Callithrix jacchus: one gene and its partners. The protein of the gene in region 1 interacts with the protein of each later gene in a pairwise test. Links are inferred from orthologs where the notes say so. Each region holds a gene or a part of one and is shown in the gene's direction. Other genes may lie near its edges. The genes, in order: EMD, LUZP4, CREB3, TRIM42, BYSL, FATE1 and ABT1.

Region 1 (4,183 bases):
TGAGACAGGAGAATCACTTGAACCTGGGAGGTGGAGGCTACAGAGACTCAAGATTGCGGCTCTGCACTCCAGCTTGGGTGACAGAGCGAGACTCTCTCAAAAAAAAAAAAAAAAAAAAAAAAAAAGAATATCACCTCTTCTCCATTCTCCGTAGGGCAGCCCTTATCTGATCAAGGTCCTGGGAATCCTAGCCACAGTCCAGGCTCCTGAGCAGGCCTTGGCAGCCCTTCCATAGCTCGACACCCACGTCTGCCCCCTGCCGGGCTATGCTGGGCTCAGGGGCCATTCCGACAGAAGAGGAAGCCCCACTTCAGCTCCCGCCAGTGCCCCGGGTGAATGAACGACATGAAGCGTTAGGCTGGACACACGTCATCTCTGCACACATCGCACAGCGCCCTCTGTCCGCGCTCACTGGCGTGCTCGCTGGCTTGCCCGGGCCCCTTCGAAGGCTGCTTGCTCCTGGAGTGCCGGCGGCCTCCTGGCCCAGTGCCCCATTTCCTCCCGGGTGGAGCGAGGTAGGAGAAAAGGAAGGAGGGAGGCGGTGGGAAGCAGCGAGCATATGTGCACGGGCGACAGCCCTGCAGACTGGGAAGGTGGGCCCGTGGCAGGGGGTCTGCGAGGACCGCGTAGGCGCGGGCCTTGCCCCACAGCCGCTTCCCAGGTGATGCGCACACAAAGCTCCCTCAGTAGTGCCTAGCCCGGGGCCGGCGCTCCCTTAGGGTTCAGACCCTTCCCGCCGCTGCTGGGGCGGCCGACCCGGATGCGGCCGGGGAATCCTACGCCCTGGGGCCACGGGAAAGGGGACCAGGGCGTAGAGAAGGGATGTGCTGGGACGGTGGGGAGCCCAAGTGACTTAGGGACCAGAGCCACCGCTAGCGCCCACTTAGGCCGCTCTCACTTCCCGGCCGGCAGATGCCGGGTGTTAGACACACAGGCCCCGCCCCTCTCTACCGACTGGCTCACGCACGCCTCAAGGTGACGTCTAGGCTCCCAGCCGCACCGCCCAGACTCCCGTGCGGGCCCCACCCCCAACAGCTCCGGGCGTTAGTGACGTACGGACTCGCGACCCCGCTCGCTCCCACCGCGACACCTTCTGCTCCGCTCCCGCGCGGGCCCCGCCCCCTCCATCGCTAGCCAATCCGTGTGTTTGTGACGTTGGGCTTGCGGCCCCGCCCACTCCCACCGCGAGACTGATTCCCACTGTCCTGACTCTCGGCGCGGGCCCCGCCCCGTCCGCCGCTAGCCAATCCGTGCGTTTATGACGTTTGGACTCACTGCCCCAGCCTCCCAGCTCCCAAGGCCCGGCCGTTCTGCGCCTGCTGCTCCCGCCGTTAAGCCCCTCCCCGCACAGCGCGCGCAGCCTGCGGAGCCCGAGGCCGTGACGAGACAGTGATTTGGCTGTGACGCGAGCGCGATCGCTCCCGAGGCGCTCGTGCCGCCCCCGCCGTGATCCTCGGCAGCCGCTGCTCGGCGGGTTTTGGCAGGGGCCCGGCTTCCGCCCGCGCCCGCACCCGCCATGGACGACTACGCGGGTCTTTCGGATACCGAGCTGGCCGCCGTGCTGCGCCAGTACAACATACCTCACGGGCCAGTTGTCGGTACGCGGCGGCGGGCAGGACCTGCCCCCGGGCCCCCTCCCCGCGCTCTGCCCCGCGCCCTCCCCGCCACCCTACCCGCGCGCCTTCCCCGGCTTGTGGCCCTGACCGCCTCGTGTCCGGCCAGGGTCTACTCGTAAGCTTTACGAGAAGAAGATCTTCGAGTACGAGACCCAGAGGCGGCGGCTCTCGCCCCCCAGCTCGTCCGCCGCCTCCTTCTCCTATCGCTTCTCTGGTGAGAGCCTCGCTTGTGGGGACCGGGCCTGGGATGCGGGGAGATCGGGGTCGCGAGGGTGTGGCAGGGGCGCCGGTCGAGAGCGGCACCGGGGAGAGGGGAGGGAAGCCTGGGGGGCAAACAGTTCTGTCGCCTCCCTTCAATCCAGACTTGAATTCGCCGTCAGTGGATTCAGATATGTATGATCTTCCCAAGAAAGAGGACGCCTTACTCTACCAGAGCAAGGGTAAGGCAGGGGTGGGGTGGGCACGCTGGCACGTTCACCTGACTGCGTCAGGGACCCCGCTCACAGGGAGGACCTGAGACCTCAGCCCCAACCACTCCAGCAGCCTTAGGAGGGAGAAACTGTCACAGGTCCCGAAAGAGATTCAGATTAGGGCCAGCAGGCCAGGTGGGGCACACCGATGCCCCCTCTGCTACCGCTGCCCCCCTTCCCAAGGCTACAATGACGACTACTATGAAGAGAGCTACTTAACTACCAGGACTTATGGGGAGCCCGACTCTGCGGGCCAGTCCAGGGGCTTCCGCCAGTCTGCGACTTCACTCCCAGATGCTGACACTTTCCACCACCAGGTGAGCTGGCTGGCAGGTGCCCTGTACTTGAGTACAATCTAGGGGATGGCGGCTGTGTTTGGATAAATCCAGGGGGCCACTGGATACAAATGGTGGCTTCTGTGCTTCTGGGGAGACTGGCTCAGCAGACGCCTGTTTGGCCAGGTCCCTACTTTGGGGAGCCATCAGAACTGTGACTAGAGCACCCTGGTCTGCAATCTAGGCTCAAGCTTTTCCTGAGACTCCTGGGGGCAAAAGGGAATAGCAGGGCATGAGCACAAGTGACAAGACCCCACAAACAAAAGACTGAACACCAAGAGCCATTCGGGAGGGTGTGGGTCCCTGGCCTCTAACCAAAGGTCAGAGGGCACCAGCTGGGGAAGTTTGGACTGAGGGATGTGGCAGGGCCATGGTGGCCCTGCCAGTCGGTCCACTCACCCTGACTCTCTTCTGCAGGTGCGTGATGACAATCTTTTGTCTTCTGAAGAGGAGTGCAAGGATAGGTACGTAGAGGGCAGGCCCAGGAACAGGGACTGGTTCTGCACCCAGGCTCCTGGCCCACCTGCTCCCCTCTTTTGCCTCAGGGAACGTCCCATGTACGGCCGGGACAGTGCCTACCAGAGCATCGCGCACTACCGCCCTGTTTCAGCCTCCAGGAGCTCCCTGGGCCTATCCTATTATCCTACCTCCTCCTCCACCTCTTCTGTGTCCTCATCTTCATCTTCCCCTTCATGGCTTACCCGCCGAGCCATCCGGCCAGAAAAGCATGCTCCTGGGGCTGGGCTTGGCCATGATCGCCAGGTCCCGCTCTGGGGCCAGCTGCTGCTTTTCCTGGTCTTTGCGATCTTCCTCTTCTTTGTTTACTACTTCATGCAGGCGGAGGAAGGCAACCCCTTCTGGAGGGAGCCCTGAGGGTCTGGGCTTCAGAGCCAGCTCTTCTGGGGAAGTCCTGGCTGATGGCCTTAGCAGTGAGGGTGGGGGTGGGGGTGGGGGTGGGGGCTTTTGTGTGTGTTCTCGCTTGGGGGGCGCTGGCCCAGCCCAGAGTAGTGCTTGCTCCCCTGCCTTGTCCCACCAGGGAGGCAGCAGACTCAAGCCCTCCATGATCTGGGGGACCTGGGTGTGCTTTCCTCTCTAGCCTCCTGGCCCTGCTTGCCTGTAACCCTTAGGGTCCAGGAGGGCAAGGCCTCGCTCCATCAGAGAACATGGTTATTGTTGTTGTCATGCATGCCTCCTTTTAGTTGTCATCTTGAGGGGATTAACCAAAGGCCACCATGACTTTGTTTTCGTGGACACACAATAAAAACCCCATTTATTTTTAATGTGTTGACTCTTCCTGGAGGAGAGGGTTGGGTTCCCATGGCAAGGGCATCTGGCCTTGCTGGGTCTGCATTTTGGCTTTGGTCTGGGGATAGGAATCAATTGCTACCCAGAAATGTTTGTGTTTTGTTTGGGAGTTTTATTCCCTGACTCATTCCCCAAAGCACGTGTAACTGCTTATACATATAATTGTGGTACAACAAGGTATATACAGAGAACCCACTTGGAAATTCAGGCAAAGCTGCATGCACGCCACCAGCAGTCTGCGGGTGTTTTAACTGGAAAAAGCTGAAGTCCACCCGATTGTCCAAAGGCATGGGGACAGAAAGAAGATGAGGCGTCTCATTGGCAGATCATCCTTGGCTCCTGGAACTGCTGCTTGTTTACCATGGGAGAAAAGCTCCAAAGGCCGCATCATCCCTGGGTGGTAGAATTCACCTGCCTATATTCTCACTTAACTCCCAGATTTTCTGCCCTGGGTATG
Region 2 (4,160 bases), about 39 Mb from region 1:
CAGATTTTTTAACAATCACCATTCTAACTGGTGTGAGGTGGTATCTCAATGTGGTTTTGATTTTTATTTCTCTAATAATTAGTGATTATGAGTGTTTTTTCATGTTTGTTGGCCTCATATATGTCTTCTTTTGAAAAGTGTCTGTTCATATCCTTCACCACTTTTGGATGGGGTTATGTGTTTTTTTCTTGTAAATCTGTTACAGTTCTTTGTAGATTCCAGATATTAGCCCTTTGACAGATGGGTAGATTGCAAAAATTTTTTTCCATTCTGTTGGTTGCCGGTTCACTCTAATGATTGTTTCTTTTGCTGTACAGAAGCTCTGGAGTTTAATTAGGTCCCATTTGTCTATTTTGGCTTTTGTTGCCAATGCTTTTGGTGTTTTAGTCATGAAGTCCTTGCCTATGCCTATGTCCTGAATGGTGTTGCCTAGGTTTTCTTCTAGGGTTTTTATGCTGTTATGTCTTATGTTTAAGTCTTTAATCTATCTGGAGTTAATTCTAGTGTAAGGTGTCAGGAAGGGGTCCAGTTTCTGCTTTCTGCACTTGGCTAGCCAGTTTTCCCAATACCATTTATTAAACAGGGAATCCTTTCCCTATTGCTTGTTTTTGTCAGATTTGTCAAAGATCAGATAGTTGTAGATGTGTGGCATTGCCTCCAGGGCCTCTGTTGTGTTCCATTGGTCTATATCTCTGTTTTGGTACCAGTACTATGCTGTTTTGATTACTGTAGCCTTGTAGTATAGTTTGAAATCAGGTAGCATGATGCCTCTGGCTTTGTTCTTCTTGCTTAGGATTGTCTTGGCTAGGCGGACTCTCTTTTGGTTCCATATGAAGTTTAAGGTGGTTTTTTTCCAATTCTGTGAAGAAGGTCATTGGTAGCTTCATGGAGATAGCGTTGAATCTATAAATTACTTTGGACAGTTTGGCCATTTTCATGATATTGATTCTTCCCAACCATGAGCATGGAATGTTTCTCCATCTGTTTGTGTCCTCTCTTATTTCCTTGAGCAGTGGTTTGCAGTTCTCCTTGAAGAGGTCCTTTACATCCTTTGTTAGTTGTATTCCTAAGTATTTTATTCTCTTTGTAGCAATTGTGAATGGGAGTTTGCTCATGATTTGGCTCTCTGTTAGTCTGTTATTGGTGTATAGAAATGCTTGTGGTTTCTGCTTATTGATTTTGTATACTGAGACTGCTGAAGTTACTTATCAGTTTAAAGAGATTTGGGGCTGAGATGATAGGGTCTTTTAAATATGCAATCATGTCTGCAAATAGAGAAAATTTCACTTCCTCTTTTCCTAATTGAATACCCTTTTTTTTTTCTTGCCTCAAGTTGTATCTGTCCCCCATTCTTTAAATTATGCCATGTAAGTGCTCTCTGCCTGAGTACATAAGTACGTGCCTGACTACAAAGTAAAGTCGGATTGCTTCCTCCTAATACAATAATCTAGGTTCCTCACTTCTGTGGTGTCTCCTACTTCCATCACCACTTTCTTACTTTTGTCACTTCCTTTTTCTTCGTTAGTTTTTGATAAAATGCATGTAACTAATTGTCTATCACACTTAATCAGATAGACATTTAATGGTCTATCGCTTTACATTTAATTGCTGATTTGCATTTACTTAGCTGTGAGCTGTGCTATAATGACTCTATTGCTCTGTATTTCTATGACACTGAAATAACATTTAGTAAAATCATTTATTTAGATGATCTTCGCCACCTCCCACCCAGCTATTGCAATGTGGAAGTATTTTGCTTTTGCATAAATGAAGTTACCATAAATCCAACAGGAATTTTTCTTTCTTGTTCCAGCAAACCCTAAGATGTCTGTATTGTTTGACCTTTATTATAATTTAACAAATTCATTATTATTATGTTATCTTCTTTTAGGGTTATCAGTTTTTTGGTATTCTGAAATATGATGAGATAGGATATAGATTATTCATGTGAGACGTTGTAATTTGTTTTTTGCCATTTTATTCCTTTTTTATGTATTTTCTAATACAGATGACATTATACTCTATAAAAAGTTAGAAAAGATAAATGCTGAAATAGAAAAAAGGAATACAAGACAGATTCATAGTAAAAAGGATTTGCCTTCAAGACAACAATCAAATGGTCATGGACATCGCCATCAGAGAGGTAAATATGTTAAAAATGGTCACACATGGTAAAAAGAGTCTGAAATATTTGTGAATAACTAGGTAAGCAAAATCAAGAATTCACATTGTTCTAAAGTTACATTATGTTGCTTGTTTTATTTTTTCTAGGCATGGACCCATACAGGGTTGGTAAGAATTTATGCCATGTCATATGAATAAAAATTTATTTTAATGTATATAAGTTACTTCCCTAATGGAGAATGGGATAAGAAAATTAGCCATACGAGCTGAGAGATATTTTGTACTTGTTTACAAACCTCGGTTGGTTGGTCCAGTTCTACTTTTAGGAGGCAATACAGGAGGGTTAAGAGCATAGTCAATAATCTGAACACTATGGCATCCACATTTTGAAAATACAAATGTTGTAGGACAACAAGAGTAGGGTAGAACATGACAGATGTTCTCTGTATTCCTAACCTCATTGGTAAGTGCAGTATGTATTTTTTTAAATGAATGTGCTACAGATTGCCATAATACAAGGAGTCTTTTGAACAATTAAAGGTCTTCATAGTCTAGTCAATAGATTGAAACCATTTTGACATTGTGATTACTCTAAGCCCCTGATGGTTGCCTATGCAGCTTCATTTAAGTTCTTGTGTAAATCTTCAGTGGCTCATCATGTTCTGAAAAGAGAAGCGATGGTACTTATAATAAGGGCAGAGCAGCCAAGAAGGGTAACATGGCCCATTCTTATGTGCCTAAACAGTCATTGCAAAATTGATCTTCTTCGTGAGCCTTTTGGAGATCTATATTATTTGATGGTTTCTTAAACTGCCTTTATGCCCAAACAAAGCAGACACTTTCTCTCTATCTCTCCTTTTTCTATTGGAGTATTCTTTCAATTAATTTCAGATAGTATGTCCCAACTTTGGTGGCATATAAAACCAAAATTGAGATATATGTACTGAGACTATCCTATTAAGGTGTGCAAATTGAAATAGTATGGCAAAGACTTCTAGAATTCAGTGAGATTACCAGATTATATCAAAGTAATGAAAAATCAAAAGTTTTGCAAAACCCAGTGCATAGCTTTTAAAAAAAAATGAGATCAGAGATAATACTTCTGAAAGATGCATTGAATTTACTACTTGAAAATACAGAAAATGCTTATTGTTCAAAGGCTACTCAAGATTCAGAAGCAACTTTGAGGAAGGAAATCATGATAAAAAACCATCTCAAGAACCTTCTGGATTGAAGTCTGGACAACACCCTTTAAATAGGAAGCCTTTATTTGAGCAGGTAAACAAAAAACAAGAATTTACCAATATAAAAAGTCCTATATTTAATATATTTTTAATATTAATGATTTACTTTAAATTCTATTGAAAGCAAGGATTGTTTCTTGGTATTCCTCCAAGGTACCTTGAACATAATTTAAATTCAATGTTTGGTAGTTGATTTTTCCCCTGCAACTATTTTTTAATTTTTTTTATTATTATTGTACTTTAGGTTCTGGGGTACATGTGCAGATCATGCAGGATTGTTGCATAGGTACACACATGGCAATGTGGTTTGCTGCCTCCATCCCCCCGTCACCTACATCTGGCATTTCTCCCATGTTATTCCTCCCTGACCTCCCCACCCCTCACTGTCCCTACCTTGGCCACCCCTCAATAGACCCCAGTGTGTGATGCTCCCCTTCCTGGGTCCATGTGTTCTCATTGTTCAACACCCGCCTGTTAGTGAGAACATGCGGTGTTTGATTTTCTGTTCTTGTGTCAGTTTGCCGAGAATTATGCTTTCTAGATTCATCCATGTCCCTACAAAGGACACAAACTCTTCATTTTTTATGGCTGCGTACTATTCTGTGATGTATATGTGCCACCTTCTCATTGTCCAGTATATTGTCGCTGGGCATTTGGGTTGGTTCCAGGTCTTTGCTATTGTAAGCAGTGCTGCTGTGAACACACATGTGCATGTGTTTTTTTTTAAATAGAATGATTTATAATCCTTTGGGTATAGACCCAGTAAGGGGATTGCTGGGTCATATGGAATTT
Region 3 (4,028 bases), on another chromosome or scaffold:
AGCAAAGACCCATATTCAATCCCTGAACCCTAACACTGATCTACGTTTTACCTTTAGCACCAAATCCCCTGATGTTAACCCTAAATGTTGACCCCAAAGCCTAAAGTTCATTTGTAAACTGATTCCTAACTCACCCTTTCACTGTTTATTCTTAATAGTGAGCATGCCAACGTTCTTTAATCCCCCAAACAGATTTCTAACCTGATTCCTGTTGTTGACCCTTAACCCGATCCTGAACTCAAATTATGACGAATGCTGGCCATGCCAGTAAACAAAATAATGACCTTAATCTAAACCTTACCTATCCAAAACGGACCTGACTCACACTGACTCAAGTTTTAACTCCAGCTTTTAACTCCTACAGCGACCCCTCATTCCTAAACCGATCCCACCTAATCTGCAACTCACCCAAAGCTTTCCTACCCACATGCCCGCTATCAGCTAACACCAAAGCCCGTCCCCGCCCTGCGCCCCGCTGCCACCCGACTCCTCACGCTCCCCAACGCCTATCCCAGGCAGAGGACTGCTCCGAGGAAAGGTCTGTCTCCCCTAAGACGGCCTACTTCACGCCAAGCCCAGGTCGAGATGCGCTGGACCCTGACCTCTCCTACTAATAGGACCCGAACCGGACACGAAGGAGAGGCAGGGCCCCGCCTGCCCGCCACCAGGGCCAGGTTCCGCGGCCCCACCCTAAGGCCCCCGCCCGGCCCAGCCCGGTCCGGTCCAACCTACCTGCGCTGCCTGGCTCTGCGCCCTGCCCGCCGGCCCGCAGCCCTGAGGCTTCTCGGGTCGCCCTCTGGCTCCGGCCTCGCCTTCCCTTCGACACTCCCTCGGCCACTTCCGTCCCAGGAACGTCCCCCACCCGCGGGCGGCGCCCTGGGCTCGCGCTCTATGGTCGTGGGGCCGGCAGGAAGCTGCTCTGGCCCCGGTCTCGATGCTCAGGAGCCGCCGAAGCCCGGCAGCCACTCCCCGGCAGGAAGCGAGGGTACGGCGCAATGCTGAGACGACGCCCGGATGACGCCTGAGCTTCCTTTTAGGCCTGAACTCTTAATTTTTCCAGCCTGGGGGAGAAGGCGGAGCCGGAGCCCCGGAGCCTCCGCCCTCGGGGTGCGAGGCGACGGCAGGGCCGTCCCCTGTATTTGCATAGCCCTTGGGACGTGGCGCGGCACCCAGGCCGCCTTCCAGTTGGAGAGAACTCCAAGTCCCAGAATGCCACGGGGCCGGGTGCGTCACTTTCGCTGTGTTGGAGGCTGAGGAGAATTGAGCCTGGGAGGTGGGTCCGGAGAGGGCTACGGATAGCCCCGGCGGGGAAGCCCGGCCGTAGAGGGGCGGTGGAAAAGTGCCAAAGGCCGACAGCTGATCTGGGACTCGTGTCTGGGCTTCGGACGTTGGGGCCCCGTGGCCCACCCTTTACGTAGATGTCTCAAATGGAGCTAGAATTGGATCCTGGTGACGAAGACCTGCTGGGCTTCCTGCTAGAGGCAAGTGGAGATTTGGGGACGGCGCACGAGGCCATCAGGGCCCCACTGGACTGGGAGCTGCTGCTTTCTGAGGTGGGTTGGGATTGCGACTGGGGAAAGCGTGGGATGTCCATGAGGTCAGGTGATGGTTATAGGTCAAGGCCTGTTCATTGGAACCCTGCGCAGGTACCGAGTGACTGGGAGTTAGATGATTTGCTGAGCTCACTGCTGAGTCCCCCAGCATCGTTGAACGTTCTCAGCTCCTCCAACCCCTGCCTTGTCCACCACGACCACACCTACTCCCTCCCACAGGAAGCTGTCTCTGTTGATCTAGGTGAGTCTGAAGTAAGTTTGCTGGGAGGAGAGGATTCATGGGCCTGGCTATTCATACTTTCCCTTTTGCAGAGAGTGAGAGCTTTGGAAAAGAGGAGACCCAGATGACTACACAGCATGTGGAGGAAATGGCAGAGCAGGTACTTGACTTGATTTTCAGGAAGATTACTCTCACATTCCCCAGGTGGGGCAGGATTCCCCATTCCTCTCTGACATCCCCATGCAACTGCTGCCCACTTTCTTGTTACCCTAGGAGACTGTTAGGTTGGTACTGACAGATGAGGAGAAGAGTCTATTGGAGAAGGAGGGGCTTATTCTGCCTGAGACACTTCCTCTCACTAAGGTAAGACTCTCATTGGTTGAGCAAAGGCTGAAAGGGAGTAAGAGTCCCAAGTAGGCCAGTTTTGTTAACTTTATATCAATAACTTTAAAAAAGGATTGAGTTGAGAAAATTAGCAGATTTGTTGCTAATAAGAAGTTGGGGCAGGTACCTAATGTGCTAGATGCAAGGGCAGATACTCGTATTTGTTGGGCTTACTTATACAAATTTTGGTGTTCTGCCTAAAAAAAAAATCATCAATGTAACTTAGTATTGGGCCTTGGAAAGGACTGTGTAAGTGAAGGGCCTTGACACTTCATTGGCTTGATAGTAGTCTACCTCTTGCTGAATGGTAAAAATGTTTAGAGTTCAACAGGGGTGGACTAAGCAGGACATGAATAAATGTAAAATCCTGAGTTTTAAGTTTTAAGCAATGAGCAGCAACTTCACAAGCAGAGTACTGTGATACTATGATGAAATCAGTGCTCATTAATAAAAAGGTTACAGGAATTTTTTCTTTTTGACAGGGTCTTGCTCTGTTGCCCAGGCTGAAGTACAGTGGTGTGATCATGGCTAACTGCAGCTTTGACTTTCTGGGCTTAGGTGATTCTCCCACCTCAGCCTCCCAAGTAGCTGAGACTACAGGTGCATACTACCCTGCTCAGCAAAATCTTTTCTGGTATTTTTAGTAGAGATGGAGTTTTACCTTGTTGCCAGGCTGGTCTTGAACTCCTGGGCTCAAGTGATCTACCCACCTGGAGCTACCAAAGTGCAGAATTTTAATTTCTTCAAAGTACAAGATGAATCGGCAGTGTGATGTGGCTACTAGGAAAGTGAATGGAATTTGGAGACTGTAGCAATAGAGTTATTGCCTCTATAAGTGACTCTCTTGCTTTCCTTTATACTGGGTAGAGCACATCTTAATGTCCAATTTTGAGACCATCTTTGACAGATATTAAGAGGATGCAGGCTATCCTAAGATGATGTTAAAAATTTTGTGTAAGTTTTTTTTTCTTTTTTTTAAGCTCTGAGGAAATGTTAAGTGCCTTAAAATAGCTAACACAGTTCATTCTATTTGGCCCCAGAAATACTAGGTAAGTCTAATGGATAGAAATTATAAGGAGGCAGCTGTTGGTTCAGGATAAGAAAGTTTTGTTTAAAGACAGGTTCTTTCTTTATTGCCCAGGTTGGAGTATAGTGGCAAGATCATGGCTCACTACAGCTTTGACCTCTCAGGCTCAAGCCATCCTCCTGCCTCAGCCTCCTGAGTAGTGGGACCACAGGTGTGTGCTACCACACCCAGCTAATTTTTTATTTTTAGTAGAGACAAGATTTCAATATGTTGTTCAGGCTGGTCTCAAACTCCTGGGCTCAAGCAGTCCTCCTGCCTTAGCTCCCTAAGGTATTGGGATTACAGGCATAAGCCACGTTGGCTGCATATTGCCTGACCAATTTTTTTTTTTAATTGTTTAAAATGGTCTGGCTTGTTAGGGTTAACACCTGGTCCGTGGAGGCATTCAGAAAGAAACTGAATGCCTATTGGTCAGAGAAGCTGTAGAAGAGATTTCTGCATTGGAAAGAGATTGATCTCAGTTGCCTTTCAACTCCTTGGTCTAGAGTCCCTCTCATGGTATCCCTTTCCCTGTTTGCTTTCAGATGGAGGAACAAATTCTGAAACGTGTGCGAAGGAAGATTCGAAATAAAAGATCTGCTCAAGAGAGCCGCAGGAAGAAGAAGGTGTATGTTGGGGGTTTAGAGAGCAGGTATGAAAGGGAGAGAGACTCAGTTGTTAGATTTTTGAAGGGAGGATACAGGTCATATACCCATATCTTTATTTCCCCCAGGGTCTTGAAATACACAGCCCAGAATATGGAGCTTCAGAACAAAGTACAGCTTCTGGAGGAACAGAATTTGTA
Region 4 (3,500 bases), on another chromosome or scaffold:
TGATTGCCAGGAAGGTCACTTTCAGCACCCACAGCTTTGGCAACCAGCAGATCTATCAGCGAAGCTCCTCCTTGCTGTCCTTCAGCAACACTGACGAGAAGGCCAAGGTGGGTCTGGAGGCCTGTGGGAGAGCCCAGTCATCCACCCCTGCTAAACCCACAGATGGCCTCTACACCTACTGGAGTGCCGCACCAGATAGTCAGTCTGTACAAAACAGCAGCAGCTTCCACAACTGGTACTTATTCAATGGTGGCTCTGTGAAGACCCCGGGCCCAATTGTTATCTACCAGACTCTGGTGTACCCAAGAGCTGCCAAGGTAAGAAAGGTTCTGGGCCCAGTGGGGAAGGTGGGAGGGTGTGGGGCACAGAGTGGAAGTGAGCAGTCAGGAAAGGTTGCGCTTACCTACCTGCCTCTAGAGTCTGGTCACTCAGATCTGCTCCTCTGGACTCTTTGTGATTAGTCCATTCAAAAGGGATAAGTTCCTGAAATCTTAAGTAATGCAAGATTTGCTTAAACCAAACAGTCAATACATTTAACTCATAGTTGGAAATATATCTGAAAGCCCTATCTCCACTGCAAAGGCAGTTTCTCAACTGAAAGAGAACCCAATCTAGGAACCAAAGTAATCTGAAGAGACTACTCGGCAGTGTAATGTTTCCCAGAGGAAAGCCTGTAATAGAGACAGCACAGAAATTGGAGTTAGAAATGCAGGTTCCATTACTTATCAGCTGTTTCCTCTAAATTGCTACCTTTCCTAAAGAAAATATCCAGACTCTCTATGATTTGGAAAAATAGGGAGGATCATCCCCAGTGAAATTTCAGCTCTTCTAAGTCAACCTCCCTTTGAGGGACAGAGTGAAGAGTAGGGTCTCTCACAGACCTCTATAAGTTCCATTGCCTGGCCTCAAGGGACATGACTTCCCTTTGACCCTCTTGACCTAACATGGACAAATGGCCTTTTCTTTGACATACCTTTCAAATCTAGCTGAACCCACATTGAATTGTTTATAGAACACTTTATTGAAGTTTATAGAGGAAAAAAGAATAACATTCCACTAAATATTCTATCAGAGTGCCTCCTGTCTCCTCTTGGATTTTTTCTAGAGTCAGCCCATGGCCTGCTCCCATGTGGCAGAGCCCATCTTTTGTCTCCCATAATCTGAGAACATTCCCAAAGACTTTTAAATCCTTGAGTTCTAAACTAGCAGTTCTCAAGCACAGATGTGCACCTGGGGATCTTGTTAAAATGCAGATTCTATTTCAGTAGGTTTCAATGGGGCCTGAGATTCTGTTTCTCACAAACTTCCAGGTGTCGCCAATGCTGCTGTCTACAGACCACACATTAGTGTCAAAGATCTAAAAAATGAAGGCCAGACACAGACCAGGCTTTACTTTTCCATTCTCCTGAGACATCATAATCCACGTTTTGTTATCTATAATTGACACAAAGAACAACCCATAATTTGCAAGGTAGAACATTTCATGGGTTATCAGGACATGATGAAGTATTTCTGCCCTTCACATAAGCAATGCCCATAACTGAGCAGCTGAATTGCATTTCCAAATGATACTAGATCAGCAAGGCCCGTAGTATATGCTCATTGCCTCAGGGATAGCACTAGGTCTCATCTCCTTGGCAACTCGGGCCTCTTGAGAAGTTGGCAGATCTTGCTCTGGAGCCAGAGGATTGGTGGTGTCTGCTCTACACTTGGGCATGGAAAATAGTCACCCCATGCCACCTATTAATCATCCCTGATGAGCTCAAGAAAGGGACCTACACAAAACAACTCAGTCAAGTCATTTGTGGTCAAAAGAGGACACCTAAACCTACTGCCAGATGGTGATATTTGATTTTAAAATATCATTGAACCATATTTTAGAATAACAGAATGGACTTCCTACAGGAATCATAGTGCTCAGCAATGCAGAAAATTAAGTCTATGTTAATATCACTCTCAAATCTTTAGGATGTTAGCATAGAAAACATTCTAAAACTTAGTCTTGTAACTTATCAATATGTATTGTTGAAATCCTAGAGATTTTTTAAAACTCAATTTTAGTTCTAGAAATCTCTTCCAAGAAAATGATTGAAAACTCAAACAAATATTCATGCCTAACAGTGTTTATTGCAACATTTATTATTAGAGTAAAATTAGAAACAACCTAAATGTTCAACTATAGAAGGATTAAATTATTTTGGTAGAAATTTTAAAGATGGTAGTTAACTGAATTTTTAATGATTTAGGAAAACATACAACATAAGTAAAAGAAAACAGAAATCAAAGCAACATAATCCGAGTTTTATATATATGTTTCTGTATCTTTGTGTGTGTTCTGAAATTGCAAAGAAATAATGACTTAACTGAATTGTGAGTTTATGAGTGATGTTTATTTTCTTCCCCTATATTTTTCTGTATTTTTCAAGCAGGAAGACAATTGTCACCTCCATGCTGACTGACAGAACATAAATCTTCTGCTTGTGAAACTCATTATAAGTCTTATGCCAGGCCTCAACACACAGCCTTCCAAGACTTATGCATGGTCTAATTAAAAGTCCTCAGCAGCTACAGGGGATGGGGTCAGCTTAAACTTACCCTACAGATAGTCAACACCACAAATCTTTAAGGGAATGAAAGCTGAATGGTGAATACTAGTACCACACCCGTATGTTCATTTCTTTCATAGGTTTACTGGACATGTCCAACAGAAGATGTGGACTCTTTTGAGATGGAATTCTATGAAGTCATTACTTCTCCTCCTAACAATGTACAAATGGAGCTCTGTGGACAAATTCGGGACATAATGCAGCAGAATCTGGAGCTGCACAACCTGACCCCCAACACAGAATATGTGTTTAAAGTTAGAGCCATCAATGATAATGGTCCTGGGCAATGGAGTGATATCTGCAAGGTACTGTGTACATTATTTCTCAAACAGATTTTCCTTTCTATGATAAGTTCTGAATGAGGCCCTGTTAAGATGATCCTGAGATTACAGAACTCACCATGGATTCTTCCTCTAAGCACATAACATTTAACTTGAGGCCAGAGAGAGGGCTGCTGGCCTCAACCAGACTTTGCAGATGAGGCCTGAGAATTGTTCTATTTGATTCAAAAAATTTGTTCTAAGCATTGGGTAGAAATGTAGAGAGTCAGAGGAAAATAAACATAATCCCTGCCTTCAAGGTACTCGGGGTCTAGAAAACAAATAATTGTTGTGTGAGAAGAACATGAAATAATTGTGGTATGAAAAAGACAAAAATGAGGTGCTATTCCCAGTCAAGGATGGGGTGCCAAATTTAACAACTAAAAATACAGCATGCCCAGTTAGATTTGAATTTCTGGCACACAATAATTTTTATATAAATATGTCCAGTACAGTATTTAGGACCTATTTATTCTTAAAAAAAAATTGTTCATCTGAAAGTCAAGAGACAGCCACCAAGCAGGCCATTGTGGTTTCCAAAAAAGAAAGGACAAAACTATTGCTATCCTTTTTG
Region 5 (3,997 bases), on another chromosome or scaffold:
GTCTGGGACCTAGTACCTTACAACTAATGCCTCCGCGAGCGTTGTACCTTTCCCTGCCACCTCATCTTCCAACTGAGACTTAAAACATATGAAAGATAAAAACTCCATTGAAACTAGACCAACCATGGAATTAAACATAGTGAGAAGCAGGTCCTAAAGAGTGCCTGGAACCACGATCTCCTTCTTATCAATAGCCTCTTTTTTCCTCTAGACCCAAGATCTTAAAATGGGCAAATTACAAACAGACACCAGCTGGTCTAACTGCATTTGATGGCTGAGACAAGGGTAGGCGAAAATCTCAAAAAAAAAAAAAAAAAATACTGTCTCCTGATCGCTTTTAACCTACTCCCTCCAACCCTGTCTGCAGGTAGGTCCTAATCCAAAGTCCCTATTTCCAACCTTGAGGTCCAAGTGCAGACAGTACTATGGCCTCACGGGAAGGAAGATGTACCCATAAGGGAAGAAGGTACATAACCATTGATAGGTCCCTGGTATAAAACCTTTGCTCTGCCGCCTTCCAAGAGGTAAGAGCGCATCTCCGAGGAAAAAGGCCCAGGGAACCCGCGGCCCGCACGGTATCCTCTTATCCAGATAACCCGAGGACATTTCGCTCAGCTCCCAGAGGACGGCGGGCCATGGTCAAGGACCTCTTCCCGGCCCTTCACAACTCCAAATCCCGCCCCACAAAACCCCTGCAGTCCTACCAAGTCACTCCCATGGTGTCGGGACAGGAAGGTGGCAGGATCACACAGTAGAAATGCGTCGTTCCCAGTCCGCCCACAGGAACTGCTTCAGTTCCCCAACACAGGCTTCGGTCGCAGAAGGGATTCCGGAAATACGTAAAAACAGAGCGCCGGGTCCACGCCTTCCCCAAGGAATGGGGCGTGTCTTGGCACCCGTCGGTGACGCCTCCAGTGACATAATCAGTGGATTCCCGCTCTCATGTTTCTAGCTCCGGAAATTCCCGGTTGGCTGAGCACTCTAGGCTTAGATCCATGAAGCTAGAAGAACGAGACTTAGACTGCACTATTGAGAGACGCCAACGTTAAAGGAAGTAAATGTATTTGGGAGTCCAGCTCCGGAACCCAGGAGCTCTTTTAGTGGGAGGGGCGGTGCTGATAGCGCTTCTGGCCTCCGATAGCTAGAGGGCGCTGTGATCGCAGCGTGGCCTCTTGGGAGGTGGGAGTTCACCCAAGTGTATTCTGGCCTTTTCGTCGTCCCCACGTGCGAACCTTCCCGGCAGTATTTTCAAGAAAAATGCCCAAGTTCAAGGCCACCCGTGGGGCCGGGGGTCAGGAAAAACATGCGCCCCTGGCTGAGCAGATCCTAGCTGGGAATGCGTTGCGGGCAGGGGTCCGGGAGAAGCGGCGGGGTCGTGGCACCGGAGAAGAGGAGGAAGAGTATGTGGGGCCTCGGCTGAGCCGACGGATTTTGCAGCAAGCACGGCAGCAACAGGAGGAGCTCGAGGCCGAGCATGGGACTGGGGACAAGCCCGCGGCGCCGCAGGAACGCACCACGCGGCTGGGTGAGTGTCTGGGATGAGGTCCGAACAAGACAATGGCTAGCAGCGGGGCCGGGGGCGGGGGGGAGGACAGCTAAAAAGTGTCCGGCAGGGGACTTGCAAAAGTAATGGAATGGGAGACTAAGCAATGGCCAGAGACCTCCGCGCCCACTCCTAGTTTTAGGCACTCCCTTCTAGGCACCCCCGAAGTTAGGCCAATAGGAAGTAATCGCTCGCGCCACTAAGTGTTCTTAGCATTTATCCATTGGTTTTGTAAATATTTATGGAAAACCTACTACGAGCTTTGCGCTATGCTCGAAGTTCAATCGAATATTTGAGTACAGAAGTAACAACATACAGACACGTCTGATTTAAGGACCTTACAGTCAAGCCCAGCGGAGAGACAATTACGTAGACTCTTAGAATAATATATTTCCATGATAAAATATCGTTTCCCTGGTGACAGTAGCATTGGTCTTGAGAAGCTTCTCCGATTGTAGGACCTTTAAGCTGAGAACTGAAAAACGAATGGGAAGTGTAATGAGCAGAAAACACGTTTCGCAGACAAAAAGGGAGAGAAATGAATTGACGTTTGATAGGTTCTTACTAGGGAGGGAGTGCTTACCTCTGAGGTGCTTCATCCACTTCTCAGATCTCATCTAAAGCAATATTTGACACAATTGAATAGTGGCCTCCTGCCCACAGTATCCTTACTTGGGTTATAAGACATCAACACTGCTGTTTCACTGCCACCTCACTTCTCAATATCGTTGGCTGACTCTTACTTGCAACCTCTTATCCTCAGTCCTCTGACCTCTTCTCTTCAGATATTCTCTAGTGCTGTCAGGTTTCATGGTTTCAATACCATCTCTTGGGTGACTACTCCTAACTTTATATTTTAGCCCTGATCTCTTTCATGAAATCCAGATTCTTATATTCAACTGCCTATTTGGCACCTCCAATTTGAAACAGCTCAAATTTAACATGTACAAAACCAATCCTGACCTTCTCTCCAAACCTGCTTCTCTCACCACTGTCTCAGTGAGTAGCATGATATTCTTTCATTTGCTAAAGATAAACATGACTCCTCTCTCTCCCTCCCTCCCCACATCTGATCTGTAAGGAAATTCTGATAACTCTGCCATCAAGTTATATCCAAAATCAGACCACTTTTCACCACTTTGGAACACCATCCTGTTCAAGCCACCAGTCTCTCACATTAGATTATCACAGACTCACCTGGATTATCACAGTAGCCTCCTAGATAGTATCTCATATTCTCCTTTTTTTCTTTTCTTTCCTTTCCTTTTTATTTTATTTTTAGACAGAGTCTCTCGCTCTGTCTCCCAGGGTAGAGTGCAGTGGCACAATCTTAGCTCACCGCAGCCTCAATCTCCTGGGCTCCGGCTATCTTCCCACCCGAGCCTCCCACATAGAGCTGGGACCACAGGTGTATGCCACCATGTATCCACCTAATTCTTTTTTTTTAGACAGTCACTCTGTCACGTAGGCTGGAGTGGTGTGATCTCGGCTCCCTGCAACCTCTGCCACCCAGATTCAAGCAATTCTCCTGCCTCAGCCTCCTGAGTAGTTGAGGTTACAGGTGTGAGCCACCCCGTCCAGCTAATTTTTGTATTTTTAGTAGAGATGGGGTTTTACCATGTTGGCCAGACTGGTCTTGAACTCCTGACCTCAGGTGATCTGCCCACTTCAGCCTCCCAAAGTGTTGGGATTACAGGCATAAGCCACCACGCCTAGCCGCTAATGCTTTAATTATCTGTAGAGATGAGGTCCCATAGTGTTGCCCAGGTTGGTCTCAAACTCAGGCGATCCTCCCTGCCTTGGCCTCCCAAAGCGCTGGGATTACAGGTGTGAACTACCATGCCCTGCTGTATCTCGTACTCTTCAGAACACTCAACAGCTGGGGTACGGGGGTCTACAATCCCTATACCATCTGCCTCCTTGCCAGTCTGACCTCTTCTACTGCTTTCTCCTTTGCCCATTCCACTCGATCTATATAGGCATCATTGTGTTTTGTTTTGTTTTGAGACAGAGTCTCACTCAGTTGCCCAGGCTGGAATTCAATGGCAAGATCTTGGCTCACTGCAACCTCCACCTCCCAGGTTCAAGCAATTCTCCTGCCTCTGCCTCCCAAGTATCTGGGATTACAGGCACCCAACACCACACCCAGCAAATTTTTTTTCTTTTTTTGTATTTTTAGTAGAGATAGGGTTTTGCCGTGTTGGCCAGCCTGGTCTCAAACTACTGACCTCAGGTGATCCAGCCACCTTGGCCTCCCAAAGTGCTAGGATTACAGGCATGAGCCATCGCGCCTTGCCCATAATAGTTATCTTTTAACCCAATATATTTATACATTTATTTATGTCTGTCTCTTCCAATTAGATGAGATCAGTGCGTTCAGGGTGGTATGGTCATAGACTGTCTCCTCCAGTTAGAATGTAAGCTGTATAAGAACAAAGTTTTTTAGTTTCTCTT
Region 6 (3,992 bases), about 2.2 Mb from region 1:
TTTCCTCCTTTCTTCCACCTCTTCCTCCCACTTGGCCCAGGGACTCTGGGGGAAGAGGAGGCTATTTGGAAAAGGAACCAGGACAGGTTTATAAAGGATTCCTTTTACAAATAGCCTCCTATTACCCCAGGGGCTCTGGGGTTGTTTCCTAAATGAAGGGTTCAGCATTGGTGGTTGTAGCAATCAGGGTTTTCAGAGAAACAGAGCTGATAGGATATATGTATGTATGTATGTATGTATGTATGTATGTATGTATGTATCTACATATGCACAAATATAGAGAAATTTATTTTAAGAAATTGGCTTATGTGACTGTGGGCCTCACAAGTCTGAAATGTACAGGACAGGCCGGCAGGCAGGAGACTCAGGCAAGAGTTGACCCTGCAGTCTTGGGGTTGAAATGCCTCTTCTCTGGAAACCTCAGTCTTTGCTCTTCAGGCCTCTCAGTTGATTGCGTGAGACCCACCCACATCATCGAGGATGAGTCTCTACTTTATTTCAAGTCCACTGGTTGTAGATGCCAATCACAGCTACAAATTGCCTCATCAGCAACACCTACACGGTGTTTGATGGAATCACCAGGGGCAAGTGCCTGGCCCAGGTGACTCATAAACCTGACCATCACAGTGGTCTAGTCAGTAGGTAAGCTGAGGGAGAATTGGAACTTAGAAGGTGCAGGGCCTGAGGCCCTTGGGGTTCTAGTGGCTGCAGTCAGGTCACACCTCTTTCACCCTTCCCTCCTTTGGTTCTCATGGCTCCTGCCTAGGCTGACCGACTTCAGAAAAAGGCTGCCTCCTGTGTTTGGGGACTCTGGATATGGGAGGTAGGATATGCTCTCCAGAGAATCCCTTTTGAAGGCATGGTATGGCCTGGATTGCTAGGACCTAACTCTGCTGTGGCCACTGTGTGGCTCTTGGACCCTGTGCCAATCCTTGCATCTGCCTAGAAATGATGATGGGATCCCCCATGAGCTAAATCTGGAGATCCATGAGCCAGAGCAGTTCTCACAGGCAAAAGCTTGGAGTTGTATCTCTTCTAAGCTGCTTACAGAGTTGCAGGGGAGAACGCCATGGACCCAACCAATTAGATACAATGGGAACAGAAGGTACTCAGTCCAAGGCCTCAGCCTAGAGAGGGAGTGTCACTCCACCCCCAGGTCCTACTATATCTTCCTTGAGCTCCTGTCCCTGGAAGAGGCGATTTTCTGAGTGTGACTCCTCTGTTTCTGGCACCCTGCACATTTTTAGCCATTGCTTACAAGTGAACAGCTGGTTATGATGGCAGGAGGCCCTATCAGCACCAGGGAGGAGGTAGAAATATCCCTGGCTGAAGAACTGAATCATGGAAGCCAAGGGCAAAACCAAGAGCACCTGGGGATAGCAGGTGAGGATCCTCTAAAATACCACTTGGCTATAGCCAACTCTGTAGATACGTGTCTATACCTGTGCATGTGTGTGTTGGAAAAGGTGCATGTGTGCAAGGAAGTGTTTGCACATGTGTGTGTTGGGGAGCTTCGAGGATTTGTGGGTTGATGATAAGGGAGGTAGGGAAAAGGGAGCATTTTTCCTACTGTCTCCCACTTGTCCAAGCCACCACCATGTCTGTTGCAAAATACTCAGAGAGCTCAAATTACAAGATCAGAGATCAATTCTCTCTCCCAATGCTCTAATTCATTTCCCTGCCCTTCAGAGGAAAGTCCAAACTCCACAGTCTATAAGATAGTATCAGCCTCCTCAAAACATTTCATGCTATGATATAGACAGAAAATATCATTTCTATAGCTCACAAAAGGGCCAAGATCACACTGCATTTATGTTTGTTATTACAATGCTGCAAGCGTGCTTATTCCCCAAAGACCTTGCATTTGCTGTTTCTTCTGTCTGGAATGTGCTTTCCCTCAATTTCCCAGGGCTGGGTCCTTTATTTCTTTCAGGTCCCTGCTTCAGTTTTTGTCTCCTACTTTTTAGAGGGAGCCCTTTCCTTCTACTATGTTACCATGTTTTGATCGTTTATGGAGCCTGTGTCTCTCTGTCTGCATTTGCGAGGATAGATTACTTTCTGCTGTACACCTGTCATTCCCCCTTATACACAAACAGATGGTCAGTTCTTTGAGAGCTGGAATCTTGTTCTTGATCATTGCTTTCTAAGTGAATAGAGAGTAACCTAGTCTCGAGCTCAGCCATCAGGAAATGCTTGATTAACTTTTGAACAAATGAACAAACTGAGGCCTGGGATCAGCTGGTGGATAGTGTTGAACGGGTGTTGAGTGATTCCCGAGAAGGCTGTGGCCTCTGCCTTCTTTTATGCTGTGTTTCGTGTCCAAAAAGCCCTGGTATAACTTCTGTGGGTGCTCCTGAGGCCTCTGTTCTTCTCTCTAGAAGTGATGGATCATAGATCTCGGTCCCTCAGTGTCCCCCAGAAGAGGCAGAAGGTGGAATCAAAAGCTGCAGGCTCTGCTGAAGCCAAACCAGTTTGGAATATGACTGCCACCCGGCCCAAGAAAATGGTACTGTATGGGGTCCTCAGCATAAGGTGGCCAGGTTGGGATTGGGAGTACTGTTTGTAGGGGCTCTTGCCTCACCAGGTCAGTCAGGGCTAGACATTGACTTGGGAGGAAGAGAAAGCTCCTGTGTTCCGAGCTGGCAAATGAGGAAAGGAAGGTCCAGTTAAAGGTCACGGTCATCCTTTCCTATACTAGAGGTTCAACCTTGGGAGTTCGGAATTCTTGAAACAAATATTGCTTAGGGAGTAAATAAATACTTTACTTTGTAAATCTATTGCGTGAAATAATGCTTTCCTGTATTTAAAATTATGTGTGTGGTACACGTGTGTGTATACACACAATAAGTCAGGTGAGGCTCCTATCCTTTCTGGCTGTTAAGAAATCCAGTCAAGTGGCCTGGCATGGTGACTCATGCCTGTAATCCCAGCACTCTGAGAGGAGGAGATGGGCAGATCACTTGAGGCCAGGAGTTCGAGACCAGTCTGGCCAGTATGGTGAAACCCCCATCTCTATTAAAAATAAAAAAATTAGCTGGGCATGGTGGCACATGCCTGTAATCCCAGCTACTCAGGAGGCTGAGGCATGAGAATCGCTTGAACTCAGGAGGCAGAGGTTGCAATGAGCCAAAATCATGCTACTGCACTCCAGCCTGGGCAACAGAGAGAGACTCTGTAAAAAGAAAGAAGGGGGTGGGGGAGAGAGAGAGAGAGAGAAGAAGCAAGGAAGAAAGGAAGAAATCCAGTGAAGTGAATCTGACAATTTTGTAGCCAATGCTTTTAAGCTACATTCAATATGGGTGAAGAAATATTCTAGAACAAATAGTGGCTATACTGCTGCAAATGATATTGAGAAAAACAGTCATTTTGGAGGGAGAGGGAATTCTGACTCTTCTGGAGAATTAGGTGAGTTCCACAGTTCTGTAGCCAATCCTTTTAGCTAGCTACATTCACTGTGGGTAAGGGAAAGTTTTAGAAAAATTGATATGCTGTTGCAAAGGCTGCTGGGAAAAGGCAACAGGATTGGAGAGGGAGGGAGGACTGACTGCTCCAGGAAATAATGTGAGTCCCACGGTTCTGTGGCCAATTCTTTAAGCTACATTCACTGTGGATGTTGAATGTTCTAGAAAGATGCTGGCCACATTGTCGCAAAGGATACTGAAAAAGGCATTTATTTTGGAGAGAAGGGAGACCTGACTGCTTTAGGGAATCACAAATCCCATCTTTCTGTAGCCAATGCTTTTCACCACATTCAGGTTGGTGAGGAAAAATTAATAAAATTTTAGAAAATGGTGGTTTTTACTGTTACCACAGAAAAGTTTGGAAGTTACTGGGAAAGGGAGGGAGACTTGATTGCTGAAATGATTTGTTGGATGGCCCCAGGGAAGATTGAGAAAAAAGGCTTCCAGGTTTAAAGATTTCCTGGGAATAAAAATAGGTCAGATGTTGATCTGGCTTCCTGTGTCCAAAGACAGAAGCCAAATCAAGCTGCC
Region 7 (3,926 bases), on another chromosome or scaffold:
CTGATGGGGAATCTGTGAGGACAGACCCAGGGCGGGCAGAACTAAGCGACCCGGGAGTCACCAGAATTGGAGTCGTGTGTGCCTCTGACATGTATTTGCAGCTTAAATATGCATGTGGATAATGTATCAAGACACACGTGTCATAGATGCCAAGCAAATGGTTCAAATAATTGTCGCATATTTACATTTTTAAACATTCACAAATCAAATTTAAAATATTAGACTAAAAGCAACTTAAATTTTCAAAAATTAAATCTAATTAAATTTCCAAAATTAAACTGTTTTCAAAATTTAAATTTTAAAATATGCAAAATTCCAAAGTAAATTTCCAGAAATAATTTATTTGAGTTTAGTTTTTGAGACAGGGTCTTGCTCTGTCGCCTAGGCTGGAGTGCAGTGGCGCGATCTTGGCTCAGTAAAACCTCCGCCTCCCGCGTTCAAGCGATTCTCCTGCTTCAACTCCCCGAGTAGCTGGGACTCCAGGCTCGCGCCTCTATGACCGGCTAAATTTTGTATTTTTAGTAGGGACAGGGTTTCACTATGTTGGCCAGGCTAGTCTCGAACTCTTGACCTCGTCATCCGCCCGCCTTGGCTTCCCAAAGTGCTGGGATTACAGGCATGAGCCACACCGCTCCCGGCCTTCCAGAAAGAATTAAAACTTCAAAACTCAAATTTTTAAAATGAAATTTATCAACTTTAAGACAGTCGTTCCTCAGCTGTAAACGCACCCGGGGCCCTTGAATAAAATGCTATTTTGATTGCTAGAACACATAGTACCTTCCCTACAATTGTTCTGCAAAACTCTCCAAAAAGCCAGTATCAACCTGACTTTTACCATCTCAACAAGGCGTTCTACACGGTAGGTTATATTTGGGGATCTGCCTTTTCTGCTTCTGCCTGTCCTGAATTGGAGACCTGACCGGGAATCCGTGAGCCTAACCCGAGCGTTCTATCCCGCTCCCACGCTCAAATCAGGCTTCCGACCCGATACCCTACTTCCGCCCTCTCCCCGGATCCGCCTGCCTAGCCCAATCTTGTCATTTGCCATTAACGCCTCGGCCCCGCCCCCTTGTGTCAGGCCGTCGCACGCGTTTTGCGTCGGTTGGCAAGGCACTTTACGGCTGTCGTGCTGTTCGTGTCGGTCAACATGGAGGGAGAGGAATCCGAGAAGGCCGCAACGGAACAAGAGCCGCTGGAAGGGACGGACCAGGCAGTAGACGCGGAGGAGGAGCAGGAGGAATACGAAGAAGTGGCTTGTGGCAGCAAGAAGCGGGTAGTGCCAGGTATCGTGTACCTGGGACATATCCCGCCGCGCTTCCGGCCCCTGCACGTCCGCAACCTTCTCAGTGCCTACGGCGAGGTGGGACGCGTTTTCTTTCAGGCTGAGGGTAAGTGTGCAGACCCTGGCGGTGAAAGGAGGAGGTGGTCGCGCGCTGGCGGGGGGCAAGCATGCATGTCCTCTTGGTTCGCTGCGCAGGGCTGAGGCGCGAGCTGCTGGATTTGGGCGGTGGGCAGTGCGGTGCTCAGCTCCCGGCTGGTGACGGTGCTGGGGTGGGCGCGCCGTGGGGATCTGGGAGAGTAGGTAGCGCAGTGTGTCTGGTGCTTCTTTAGTTCTCGGATTGTCACTGTTTGCGTTCTTACTCCGGTTCTGCTCACCTCTCCCCGGACCTGTTCACTGGTTTGTTACATGAGTACAACCCGAGTAAAAGCCTGCTCAGCTCTTCTACAAAACTGAACACACACCTTTGGCATCGCGACCTTGGTCAAGAAACGATTTGGTCAATCGCCCCTCGTCTTTTCACCCCCTTGCAGGCACTGCTTGAGGTTGGGGACTTGTGCAGGTTTTAAATAGCGTTCGGGGCAGGCCAGATTAAGGAGTGGACATTTGAGGAAAGACTTGAGTTAGAGGAAAGGGCGTGACTTAAGAGTTCCCTCCATCCGGCGGAAACTCTCAGGTGGGACTCCCGCTGGCAGATGCGAAGAACAATATGGGCAGTGGGAGGTTTGGTTTTGGGGGAACGCGGCCTAGGCATCCTCGACAGGGCTTTGCCTTTGGGTCGCAGACAGGTTCGTGAGACGCAAGAAGAAGGCAGCAGCAGCCGCGGGAGGAAAGAAGCGGTCCTACAGCAAGGACTACACCGAGGGATGGGTGGAGTTCCGCGACAAGCGCGTAGCCAAGCGCGTGGCAGCCAGTCTACACAACACGCCTATGGGTGCCCGCAGGCGCAGCCCCTTCCGTTATGACCTATGGAACCTCAAGGTGAGGAGCTAGATCTTTCTGCCACACCTCTCACCCTCCCTTCTCCGCAGCCCTGGTCCAAGTATCCCCATGGCCTTTCGTTGGCCTTGAGCCTCCCCCACTTTTCTCTCTCATCTGCTCTATCCTGATCTTTTCTGATTTTCTGCCCACAGTACTTGCACCGTTTCACCTGGTCCCACCTCAGCGAGCACCTTGCCTTTGAGCGCCAGGTGCGCAGGCAGCGCCTGAGAGCGGAGGTTGCTCAGGCCAAGCGTGAGACCGACTTCTATCTTCAAAGTGTAGAACGGGGACAACGCTTTCTTGCTGCTGATGGGGACCCTGCCCGCCCAGATGGCTCCTGGACATTTGCCCAGCGTCCTACTGAGCAGGAACTGAGGGCCCGGAAAGCAGCACGGCCAGGGGGCCGTGAACGGGCTCGCCTGGCAACTGTCCAGGACAAGGCCCGCTCCAACAAAGGGCTCCTGGCCAGGATCTTTGGAGCCCCGCTACCCTCAGAGAGCATGAATGGAACGTCCCTGGTCAGGGACTCCTGAGGGCCAGGGGGACTCCTGAGGGCCAGGGAGACCCCTTCCAGCTCCTGGCCCTGCTCTACTTCCTGTCTACCTCATACTAGAAGGATTGTGACTACCCAGGCAGACATTTTATTGTGTTTTTCAGACCAAATGTCTCTGGTCAGGGCCCAAACGTGGAAGTTTTGTGGGCTTATACTGTTCCCTCTCCAAACTCATGCCTGGGTGAGTCACCTAATTCATACTGTCATACTAACATGATTTGACTGCTGCATATGCTTGTTTTGTTTGACTCTTGACTGCCTGCCCCCAGGAAGGGCCTTTATTTCCAACAAGGGGGATAATGCCTAGTCCAGGCAATCTTTTTGTTTAGCAGTCACAGGTGAGGGTGGTATTGGCATCTTTTTTATGTAGAAAAAATTGACAGTTAATGGGGTAGACTGGGTTGGGAAGAAATACAGTTCTTCCAAATGTGTTTATAGAAAATAAAAATATTTTTATGTGCCTTTTTATTTTTATTAGGGGGCATTGGACAGATTTCAACTTTGATTTTGTGTTCCCTTCACCTTCATTCCATCTCCTGATCTTAGAGCACCCCCCCACCACCATCCACCTTGCCATTTCATCTGGGTTTTTTTTTTCTGTTTAGTTTCTGTCTACTTAATATCTTAGCCCAGTTTATCAGTCAGTTAAGTCAGCATTTTGTAAGCCATTGTTTGAGGAGGAAACAGTGACAGTAGATAATAACACATGGCCCTTGGCATTAAGAGTCTTCAGGCCACTAGTAGAAGACAGATAGGCATCGTGGTAGATGCATATAAGGGATGGAGTGGGGGCCATGGCAGGTCATAGAGTGCTCTCAGTGGGAACCTAATTGATGATCACAGTCTCCAGAGGTGAGTCAGTCCTCACCAACTTTTCCAGGTCATTCCTAGAAAGTAAACTGCAAAATAATAAAGCAGAAATCTGAAAGAGTATGATGTGCTCCCACAATTGCAAACAGTGCTTCCTGGGTGGAGTGTTGGGTTGGAACCACTGAAAAGGTGGGCAAAGCCTAGTAGAGAACCAGTGCACCTCAGGTTATATATGGTGGGGCTGCGACAAGAGAGGATTCACACGTGGGCAAAGTAGCCCTGTAGTCTTCAAAGAATCAGTGT

The links.
Region 2: the proteins of EMD (region 1) and LUZP4 interact in binary tests that used the Homo sapiens proteins (3 or more experiments, as listed by UniProt). The two-hybrid records come from large-scale screens. The link is inferred for Callithrix jacchus from reciprocal best matches to the Homo sapiens genes EMD and LUZP4.
Region 3: the proteins of EMD (region 1) and CREB3 interact in binary tests that used the Homo sapiens proteins (3 or more experiments, as listed by UniProt). The two-hybrid records come from large-scale screens. The link is inferred for Callithrix jacchus from reciprocal best matches to the Homo sapiens genes EMD and CREB3.
Region 4: the proteins of EMD (region 1) and TRIM42 interact in binary tests that used the Homo sapiens proteins (3 or more experiments, as listed by UniProt). The two-hybrid records come from large-scale screens. The link is inferred for Callithrix jacchus from reciprocal best matches to the Homo sapiens genes EMD and TRIM42.
Region 5: the proteins of EMD (region 1) and BYSL interact in binary tests that used the Homo sapiens proteins (3 or more experiments, as listed by UniProt). The two-hybrid records come from large-scale screens. The link is inferred for Callithrix jacchus from reciprocal best matches to the Homo sapiens genes EMD and BYSL.
Region 6: the proteins of EMD (region 1) and FATE1 interact in binary tests that used the Homo sapiens proteins (3 or more experiments, as listed by UniProt). The two-hybrid records come from large-scale screens. The link is inferred for Callithrix jacchus from reciprocal best matches to the Homo sapiens genes EMD and FATE1.
Region 7: the proteins of EMD (region 1) and ABT1 interact in binary tests that used the Homo sapiens proteins (3 or more experiments, as listed by UniProt). The two-hybrid records come from large-scale screens. The link is inferred for Callithrix jacchus from reciprocal best matches to the Homo sapiens genes EMD and ABT1.

The regions. Positions count from the first base shown.
Region 1 is NC_133524.1:150,171,711-150,175,893, forward strand, and holds EMD (emerin), read left to right. Parts: upstream 1-1,383; 5' UTR 1,384-1,516; coding exon 1,517-1,598; intron 1,599-1,722; coding exon 1,723-1,830; intron 1,831-1,978; coding exon 1,979-2,056; intron 2,057-2,269; coding exon 2,270-2,403; intron 2,404-2,838; coding exon 2,839-2,885; intron 2,886-2,966; coding exon 2,967-3,294; 3' UTR 3,295-3,701; downstream 3,702-4,183. UniProt on the Homo sapiens protein: Stabilizes and promotes the formation of a nuclear actin cortical network. Stimulates actin polymerization in vitro by binding and stabilizing the pointed end of growing filaments. Inhibits beta-catenin activity by preventing its accumulation in the nucleus.
Region 2 is NC_133524.1:111,522,060-111,526,219, forward strand, and holds the start of LUZP4 (leucine zipper protein 4), read left to right. Parts: upstream 1-1,360; coding exon 1,361-1,367; intron 1,368-2,008; coding exon 2,009-2,143; intron 2,144-3,283; coding exon 3,284-3,402; intron 3,403-4,160. UniProt on the Homo sapiens protein: Export adapter involved in mRNA nuclear export in cancer cells. Binds and enhances the RNA-binding activity of the nuclear RNA export factor NXF1. Can restore mRNA export function in cells compromised by loss of mRNA export adapters.
Region 3 is NC_133502.1:142,636,979-142,641,006, forward strand, and holds the start of CREB3 (cyclic AMP-responsive element-binding protein 3), read left to right. Parts: upstream 1-1,228; 5' UTR 1,229-1,418; coding exon 1,419-1,553; intron 1,554-1,646; coding exon 1,647-1,794; intron 1,795-1,865; coding exon 1,866-1,933; intron 1,934-2,046; coding exon 2,047-2,136; intron 2,137-3,768; coding exon 3,769-3,875; intron 3,876-3,956; coding exon 3,957-4,025; intron 4,026-4,028. UniProt on the Homo sapiens protein: Endoplasmic reticulum (ER)-bound sequence-specific transcription factor that directly binds DNA and activates transcription. Plays a role in the unfolded protein response (UPR), promoting cell survival versus ER stress-induced apoptotic cell death.
Region 4 is NC_133518.1:43,734,248-43,737,747, reverse strand, and holds part of TRIM42 (tripartite motif-containing protein 42), read left to right. Parts: coding exon 1-317; intron 318-2,686; coding exon 2,687-2,911; intron 2,912-3,500.
Region 5 is NC_133505.1:50,424,053-50,428,049, forward strand, and holds the start of BYSL (bystin), read left to right. Parts: upstream 1-1,197; 5' UTR 1,198-1,257; coding exon 1,258-1,525; intron 1,526-3,997. UniProt on the Homo sapiens protein: Required for processing of 20S pre-rRNA precursor and biogenesis of 40S ribosomal subunits. May be required for trophinin-dependent regulation of cell adhesion during implantation of human embryos.
Region 6 is NC_133524.1:148,013,588-148,017,579, forward strand, and holds the start of FATE1 (fetal and adult testis-expressed transcript protein), read left to right. Parts: upstream 1-1,192; 5' UTR 1,193-1,274; coding exon 1,275-1,383; intron 1,384-2,378; coding exon 2,379-2,506; intron 2,507-3,992. UniProt on the Homo sapiens protein: Involved in the regulation of endoplasmic reticulum (ER)-mitochondria coupling. Negatively regulates the ER-mitochondria distance and Ca(2+) transfer from ER to mitochondria possibly implicating it in the regulation of apoptosis.
Region 7 is NC_133505.1:4,274,677-4,278,602, reverse strand, and holds the start of ABT1 (activator of basal transcription 1), read left to right. Parts: upstream 1-1,126; 5' UTR 1,127-1,147; coding exon 1,148-1,388; intron 1,389-2,063; coding exon 2,064-2,260; intron 2,261-2,412; coding exon 2,413-2,793; 3' UTR 2,794-3,926.